Caenorhabditis elegans: one gene and its partner. The protein of the gene in region 1 interacts with the protein of each later gene in a pairwise test. Each region holds a gene or a part of one and is shown on either strand. Other genes may lie near its edges.

Region 1 (4,031 bases):
CATTAACGTATCAAGTAATTGCATTTTCTGCGTGTTTAGTTCATTTGGGAAGTGAAGGAGTACGGCTAGGACTTGGATTTTATGGAAATTTGGCAGAAAATGTAAGTTTTGAATGAGTCAAGTCAGAAAATCGACACTAGTGTTTACAGATGTCAGCTCTTTTTGGATTCTTAATAACTACAATTATTATTCAAATTCCTCTTACAGTATTCTTGGCAGTGAATGGCTCTTTTCTGAATCTCCCACTTGAATACGTTTTCTACACAATGATTGTGATTTTTAGTGGATTTCAAGTGAAAATTCAAAAATCTGAATATTCTCAAAATATTTCTATTTCAGACTGTATTCGCTATAGAAGCTTTGATGAAAACTGCCGAACGAGAAGTTGCAAAATATATTAACAAGATTCAACAAGAAAAAGTAGCTGACGAGCTCGAGAAAACTTCAGGAAAATCTCCAAAAAGTGGAAGAAAAACGTTGAAAAAACAATTGTCAAGATGATGTATTTGAATAAACCCATTATTTATATGAATTTTAAAGTGAGATTTTTGAAATAAGAGACATGTGATAGCAAGATCAGAAAGTAAGAGATAAATTGAAATTACATGTTAGAATATTTAAATAAGACCAAGTGCTTGCTCGACAGTTTTCGACTCTCCAGGCTGGTAGATTTTGTTGATTAATGCTATGCTTCTTGCATGGGGAGCAGTCCGACGACGTTGATGAGCACACCAACTGAAATTTTTTTTTTTGGATTCTCTGACTTTGAAGAAATAGTAGTGATCACAGATTGCTAGTACAATATTTTTTATTTTATAGTTTGATACAAAATTCGACAAATGAAATTCTAACATAGAGCACAGTTACCGTAATACTTTAAGAAATAAATTTTTACGGAAATTTTCAATGGCAGAAGAAGTGTTACCCTTTTTTGACTTGTTTCCAATGACGAATGTATTCATTTTTCAAATCTGTTTCATATCTTGGATCGACTGTAGCGTCGAATTCATCGATTCTAGATGGAACAATTGGCAGCTCAGGAATTGATTTATCTGGACGTGGCATTCGATGAATCTCGCGACATGCAAGATAATCCTGAAGGAAATAATTATAACATTTTTCATTTAATCTTTCCCACTCACAACAGCCAGATTCGGTGCATAGTCTGTCCTTTGAGCTTTTATTGGTTCATATTCATTATTCATGTGTCCTTTAACCCATGCTCTACCAAGTGAATATTCTTCTTCAAAACGTCCAGCTATCATTTCGAATGGTTTTCCACGCAATTCAAACATAATTTTAGAATCACGAGTCATAGTCTTGCGTGGTGATTCCATAAGTGAAGTTGAAGATTCGTGACGCGGCATCTTACGAGGGCGACCTGGTGGACGTCCTTGGCGCCCGGGCTCTTCATCAGCACGACTGAAATTATAAAAAATGCAATGGAAACTCTAATTTTTCAATTATGTCTAAAATTTATATTACGAAAAACAAAAAGGTCCACATTGTCTAAATTTTTTTCTGTTATGTATATTCCAGGACGCGACATTTGACAAAAATTAACTATTTATCTGGAACCAAAAAACTGAAAAAAAATGCTGTATTTACTGTAAACGTTTTCTGTGTACAAAATTTATTTTACTTTTCTTTCAAACTAAATGTGGCTCTGCATAGTTTTTAATTCTTTTTCTCAAATATTAAGGTTTAAAATTCAATCTCCAATTTTTTTTTGGCTTTTTTACATATTTTTGCTTTTTGATACAAAATCAAAACCAAAAAAAAAATGATTTTTCGCCCCAGGCATGGTATACTCTGCCGAAAATTAAACAAGAATTGAAATTTTCCATTTTATCACTTACGTATAATCTTCTGGGAGTACTCCAATTATTTCCGATGGGTGATGTTTTATGGTTGTCAGCAGATTTCCCAGACGTTTTCTGGCGAATTTCATATCCGGTGACTCCGGAACTGTCGGATCATAGGATAACAGGGATCTGGAAGCATCTTGAGTAGCACAATTGTTTCAAGTTTAGAAAGTATTACGTGAGTTTTCTGCTTGGCGATTCCAATGGAAGTGGACCTCCGCTTATCAATGGATCATTTTGACGAGCATTTCGATCTCCGTCTTCTGGAAGCAAGAACTCGGCAAGTGGATCTATTTCTGACATCTAGAATTGGAGAGGAATACATTATTTGGACAGTGAACAGCGAATACTTGCCAAAGTAATAAAGGTATTTAACCTTTAATAAAAAGAGATAAAAATTGTAGAGTAAATATAAGGACGACAATTTTTGAAGCAGTTATTAAATTAAACAATAAATATTTTTGGGTACTTGTATAAACATGAACAAGGAGAGAAGAAAATTTCGAATAAATATATAAATTCTGAAAGAATCTAAGATAGTATTGAAACTGACAAAAAGTGAATTATAGCAGAATATGTGTTGCTACTCGTTCTTTCTTGTGGACGCTGTCCGGTTTGCCGAATAGACAACGACGGTGAGAATTGCTGTTGCGATGGAGTAGGCAAAGCGGAATGCCAAGAGAGACCATCCGTAGAGAGAGAATGTGTGTTGAACGGTTCTGAAATAAAAAAAAATTTACATTTTTTGACTAGTAAAACCAATACTTACTGATAAACGAATGTTGAGAAGACACACATCGCAAGGATCGGTGACACCAAGAACTTGTTTGGAGTGCGGGTGATCATCCATGTAAGGCAGGCGAGAGACACAATAACCAATAGATCAGCTGAGGAATCAAGAGATGTCTGAAAATATAATATTATCTTTTTTTCAGAAAAAAGGAAGATTTGATCACCTGAACCCAACGCCATGTGAAAGCGGTTCCACGAGCTCCAACCCATAAAAGAACAAGACGATGAGCAACAGAATGAGCGAATCCCCAGCCAAGACCACCGACAACGAATCGAACTTCTCCTTTTCCGGCTAAGAAGTTGGTCATCAGAAGGTGAAGCCCAATGACATCGATGATGTCAGCACTGCTTTTTAGGAATTCCTGCAATGATTCTGAGATTGGCAATGAAAACCAAAATCAATAAGTTTGAAGTGTCCGAAGGATTATGTCCGGCGAGGATGGGTTTATGGTAAATTTCACTTAAAACTTGAATTAAAATGATTTTCATTGAAACGTTATTTATAGCTCCAATTTTGAATAGAAAAATTAATTACATACCGGCACAATACTGAATCCTTCACTGTCGAGGGCTGGGAAAAATGTGGCAATGATAAGCAGTTTGGCGAGTTGTGTCAGCAAATATCCACCACTAGCAGTTGCACATTTCCAGATGGAACTGTATTCGTTAATTCCTATAAAAATAGTGGTGTTTCATTGACTTCCCATAAAAAATATTACCTGAGTATTTGTAGACAATAAAATATGGTGCAAATGCCAACGCGAAGCAATTGATGAAATGGAAAAATGACATTTTGTAGATTTAGCTTACCTGAAAGATATTGAATTAATATTAAAACTATATACTTGATATCAAGGAACAAAGAAGGTAATTTTTAATTCTTAAGCAATTATGAATTACTGAATGTTAATATTTTAGGACTATAAATTTCGTTTGGACACACTAGAAACCTTCAAAAACACCAGCCGATGATTATGAAATTCATTTTGAGAATAATCATTGGATTTAAAATAACTAAAATTCAATAAAATCGATAAAATGGGCATTTGAATGATGATATTTGAAGGGCTCACGCTACCAGAAGTTGACGAAGAGCGACAAAAAAAGAGTAGTGCAACCGCGCTTTATTGAGAACCATTTACGCGCGAAGTTTGAATAGGACTTTCTATCATATGGCAGACTTTTCGAATTCGTATTAAAACAAATAATTTACAAATAAAAAGATCTTTATAATCATAATCATCAATCGTAATAGCAAGTGTGTTGTTCCATAGAAGAGCGGTACGCAAAAATTGTGAGCATCACCAGTGCCACGAGCAACCACCAGTTGGATTCCGAGCTGTAGAAAATGTGTTCCATTTTACGAAACATCAA
Region 2 (4,848 bases), on another chromosome or scaffold:
GTCTTCAAAAAAGCTCTTCCTTTACAAAAACTATGTATAATGATATTATTGAAAATACTTTCTTCTATCCATCTGAAAAAATCCGTGCGCCTTTAAGTAAAAGTTTTTTTTCAAAATCCAAGTTTTGAAAATCCAAATGTCATGGGTGCAAGTTAGACCTAGAAACAACAAAAAACAATTCTAGAAGCAGAAAAGGAACTAATTGGAGGATGGATTCTACTCTCTTTCTCCCAGTCATTACCTACATCCATCTAGATGAACGATAGAGCATGAGAAAATAAGAGAAAATGAGAAAAAGAGTGAGTGGTAAGATGTTGAAAACAAGGATGAATGGAAGGTAGAAAGCAGGTCATTGAATGAATGTAGAAAGTGAACACGAACACGATATATCGAGACGAATGAAGATACTTTAATGTGTGAGTGGGTGTTCAAAACTTGGATACAAGCCAAGTCGGGTATAAACAGATAAAATGATGCGCAATCAAATGATAAGAAGAAGGAGATGATGGTCAGAGAAGAAGCATGATTGGAAGTGGTGGGCATAATAATAATAATAAGTGGAAGATGATAGAAGATTGGATTAAAATTTATAAATTGGAGGATGGCCAATGGTGCATTAGGCAATCTGTCTAGAATTTCGTGTTTATGTTTTTCAGGAAAAAACGAAATTGCTCAAGTTTATAAGATTGCGATTTTTATGGTACTTTTAGATAAATGTTTATAGAAAATAGAAAATTAACAGGGAACTATCAATTCTGTGGTAGGCATACATATCTTTCAATTACGTAGAAGTTTATTTCCAGAAATTCTAAAATTAACTTACGAACTTATTTATTAAATGCGTCATTTTGAATCCAAAACTTATACACTCAATTTTTTATTCCCTAAAAAATCAGAGCCTCAGGTTCAGTTAAAAAACATTGATGATGTTATAATATTTGAAAAAAATCAAAACTCAGTGCTCACTTAGACCAGCTAAAAATAGTGACTTTTACTAAATGACACAAAAAATATCTCGGAATATTTTTTGGCATTCACAAAATGTCAAGTGGAATTCATCTTTTTGTCCCATAATTGTTTGAAGCAAAAATCGTGTGTGTCGGTATTAGAAATAAAACTTGAGCCAATTAATAGGGTCACTGTAGAGAAAAACTACCAAAAAAATAAGAAAAATGCAAGGATGGATGAAATGGAAGAGGAATAGTGAAGGATAGTGTCACTGCTGAATAAATAAACAAGAGGAAGGAAAAAGAAGGGAAGAATCAATGCTTTCTGGTTGAATGTCTCTGGACGACCCAAAAGTGCGCACTTTTATGAAATGGAATACTATTGAAATAGTAAGAGAGTTTAGAGATAGAAAGGATAATTGCTCAGAAGAGAGACGAACGTCTTCCAATGAAAAAACAAAATGTATTGGGATTGGATAAGAAAAAGAAATGGGCCGAAGTGTGATTGCAGAAAAATAACTGATGCGAAACGAAATGAGACACAAAAAAGAATGAAAGTGGAACCGATTGGTGAAACTAAGACTATATGTTCAGGTATCTATTACCAGCTTAGAGGTATTGGCTGAAAATTTTATTCCAAAACAATCAAAGCTTCAAAGGTGGAGAAGCGGCAATGGGGAAGATGATTCAAATCACCTCTGTGGTGCTAAAAAAGCCCAAAATTAGTTTATTTACAGCTTCCGCCTATCAGCATTTCGAAAGTCAACCGGAAAAGGTTTTTTTGCAAATATTTTAATTTTGTTTCCATTGTTCGGATTAAAATATTATTCAAGTTCAAACGTGCGAACCTTAAAGTTTTTTTTTTCAATTTTTGGAAATTTCTAAAACTTTCAATTTGCTAAAAATTTAAAAAAAAATTTTAAAAAGCTAAAAAATTTTGGAGTGTTCAATTATAATTTATTCTAATATTTTGTTGGAACTTTTGAAGTGTCAAACTGAAAATTGTGTACCCTTAGAAATGGAAAATGCAATCAAAAAAGTTGAGAACTGATCAAATAAATAATTAAACTCAAAAGTTTAGAATTAAATAAATAATGCTCTTTTTCAAATCAGATACTTCAAAAAACCTTAAAATGAAGAGAAAAGCATTCCAAAAAATAATCAACTATGCATTTTTATATCATTTCCGATTGCAAAATGGACTTGTTATCAATAAAAAAGTAAATGATAAATAGTATTAGAAATTGAGAGACACAGAAAGAAGAACATGTCTTTTTCAGTATACTCTTTTTCAAATACTACTGATTTCATTTCATATCAATAAACTATACCTTATGTAAACACCAAAATATTGAATTTTGTAAAAAAACTGTAGTGCTTTTTTCAATCTTCGTCTTTCTACAACATTAAAATGCAAATGGAGACGGGAAAACAGAAAAAAAAGCTTTTCTTACAATTAATTATTAGTTTTAAGATTCGCAGAAATTCGGGGCACAGCGTTTGGGAAGATGCCAATTATTTTTGGTAGTTTAGTAGAATACCGTACTCTGTTTGATATTCTAATATTTTAAAGTGAAATTTAGAATCAAAATATTATTTTTAAAAAACTAACGAATTTATATTAATTTAATTTTGAAGTTAAAAAAGTGTTGGCATTTTCATGGAAGTTTCGAACTACCAAAAATTGGAAATTTTTGAATTAGAATTAAAAGTATTTTCGAATAAATCTTTTAAAAAATAGTTGCTATTTTCGAACAAAATTTACTGAAAAATATTGGAAATTCATGTTTAAAAACTCATTTAAACACCTGATTGAAGCTGAATTTTAGGCCAAATCATACTGATTTATAAAGTCATAAACGTTATTTTTTCAAATAAAAATCAACTAAAAATCAAACAAAAATTACCTTTGCATTTTCAATTGATTCTGATGAATGATTCTGTTTGGATTTATAGCAAATCTTGCATTTTCCATTATTGAAAATATTTGCTTCAAACCGCTTACAGTCGTTCATTTTATATATTTATTCTAGTTTCCTGTCATGGATGTGGTCTGAAATTTACATTTTTGTTATTGACTTTGTTTGAGTGTTAAAACGGAAAGGAAGAAAATAAAGAAACATGTGGGAAAATATTGAAAAGTTGAGAAAACAAACTTGAATTTTCAATAGAAATATTTTAAAAGAGTCATTGGTCAGCTAAGACTTTTTGAAATAGAGTAGTTCACATTATGAGATATGCTTTTCCTCAGTTTATAGATTTCTTCTCCCTTTCTGACCGCAATTTAGTGTTCAATTGGTGTCCCGTGTCCCCGTGTCCAGTCGAGCCGTTTCACTCTCACTGACGAAAGATTTACGAGCCACTTTTACTATTTTATTGAGAAACTGGGAAAATATGGAACTTAAATGACCAGGTGAAAGAGTATTCAGAAAATATTAGTATCATTTTTTTCTTGAAATTTTTGGTAATGTACTTTGGGGAAGTAGGATGATGAGAGTGTGAAATTGTGTAAATTAAAACTTCTAAAATTTGTCTTTTTCATTGAAAAATTTTTTTTTGCAATTTCTACAATAAAAATCCTGATTTTGAAACAATATTCCGCGGAAAATAAATGTTTCGAAGTGAAACCGATTTAGGACCAATTAAAAAATTCTGCAAAATGTATCATCATTCCAAAAAGTTTAATTATATAAAAAAAAATCCAACAAAACTGTGTTGCTTTACAGTAATCATTTTGCCCAGCAATTTGAAATTAATTCAGTTACTAAAAAAAGTTTAGAATTTAAATGAAATTTCTGAAAGAAAACAACATTTTTAAATTGTTTCATAGTCATAGTCGATCATTTGAATTTAATTTATTATTTTTAACAACATGTTTTTGATAAAAATAACTTTTAAAAAGTTCCTCGCAGGTTACTGTAGTTGTAGCGAAAGCATTTTATATTTTTTGAAACTAAATGAATTTTTTGAGTTTTAAATTTTATTACTTCTCGTTTCAATGAATTGGATCTGATAAAAATTACCAAGACAGAAAAAAAACGGTTCTCGAAAAATGAGAAAAAGGGTAAGTGATTGGTTTGAGAGAAACAACTGATAACAAAACCAATTGTTTTCTTATCAGTTTTATCGATATTTCTTTTCATTAACAAAAAAGCTAATAATTGTTTCTTGGCCAACCGGAAAGAAGAAAAGGCTACAGAAACATGGAAATAATCAAAAAATTGAAAAACAGTAGGAAGAGAGAAAAAACGTATTTTTCGTTCGTTTCTTTATGAGGAACACAAGAAAGAAGAGGAGGAGGGTAGTAGTGGGGGGACCCCGAAACAATTAAAGATAGTAGTGATAAGAAGAGAGTGAGAGACACAGATATCAAACAGGCGTTCTTTCTTTCTCTCTCGGACCCCGGGACATGAACACGGAAAACGGAAAAGTGGGAATAGAGGGAAGTTGGTAGAAGAAGTGCAAGGACCAGTTGGTGATAAGAAAGTGTCATGTGATTGAACCATTTGGGTTTTGAAACTTTTTTTGACGAGGCTTCATAATAAATGTCAAATTTCCCAAACATTGTCAGAACTGAGAATCTAATTTTTTTTTAATGAAAATAGCATAATCAAACCCCAAACAATCAAGTAACTTGCCCTGGGAAGATGACTCTCAACCAAAACAGCTTCCACACAAGTACTCACATTCATTGGTGATAAAGAAACCTCGTGAGGCTGTTTTTATGTTTCGTAACATGAAAACTCCAATGTCTGAGAAATCAAAAACAATGCAAGAAAATGGAATAAAAATTGATGAGTCACGATCAGGAATCGGTAATTCAGAAAGAATGACTGATTTGGTAGAATAAAAGGAACAAAGATATCAAATTGGATGCGATTGACTTTTTTAGGGCGAACAA

The links. The genes of interacting proteins can lie anywhere in the genome.
Region 2: the proteins of lin-37 (region 1) and F10G8.8 interact in a two-hybrid assay, tested with the Caenorhabditis elegans proteins (3 studies listed by BioGRID).

Annotation. Positions count from the first base shown.
Region 1 is NC_003281.10:7,070,385-7,074,415, forward strand, and holds lin-37 (uncharacterized protein), read right to left. Parts: upstream 2,169-4,031; coding exon 2,044-2,168; intron 1,995-2,043; coding exon 1,860-1,994; intron 1,423-1,859; coding exon 1,143-1,422; intron 1,096-1,142; coding exon 926-1,095; intron 736-925; coding exon 618-735; 3' UTR 506-617; downstream 1-505. Other genes in the region: tmem-17 (transmembrane 17 domain-containing protein), read left to right, coding at 1-101, 150-272, 340-501; ZK418.5 (BOS complex subunit TMEM147), read right to left, coding at 2,449-2,584, 2,635-2,771, 2,822-3,019, 3,197-3,330, 3,377-3,449; ZK418.13 (Pollen-specific leucine-rich repeat extensin-like protein 1), read right to left, coding at 3,900-4,031.
Region 2 is NC_003279.8:10,059,027-10,063,874, forward strand, and holds the start of F10G8.8 (PH domain-containing protein), read right to left. Parts: upstream 3,001-4,848; 5' UTR 2,963-3,000; coding exon 2,855-2,962; intron 1-2,854.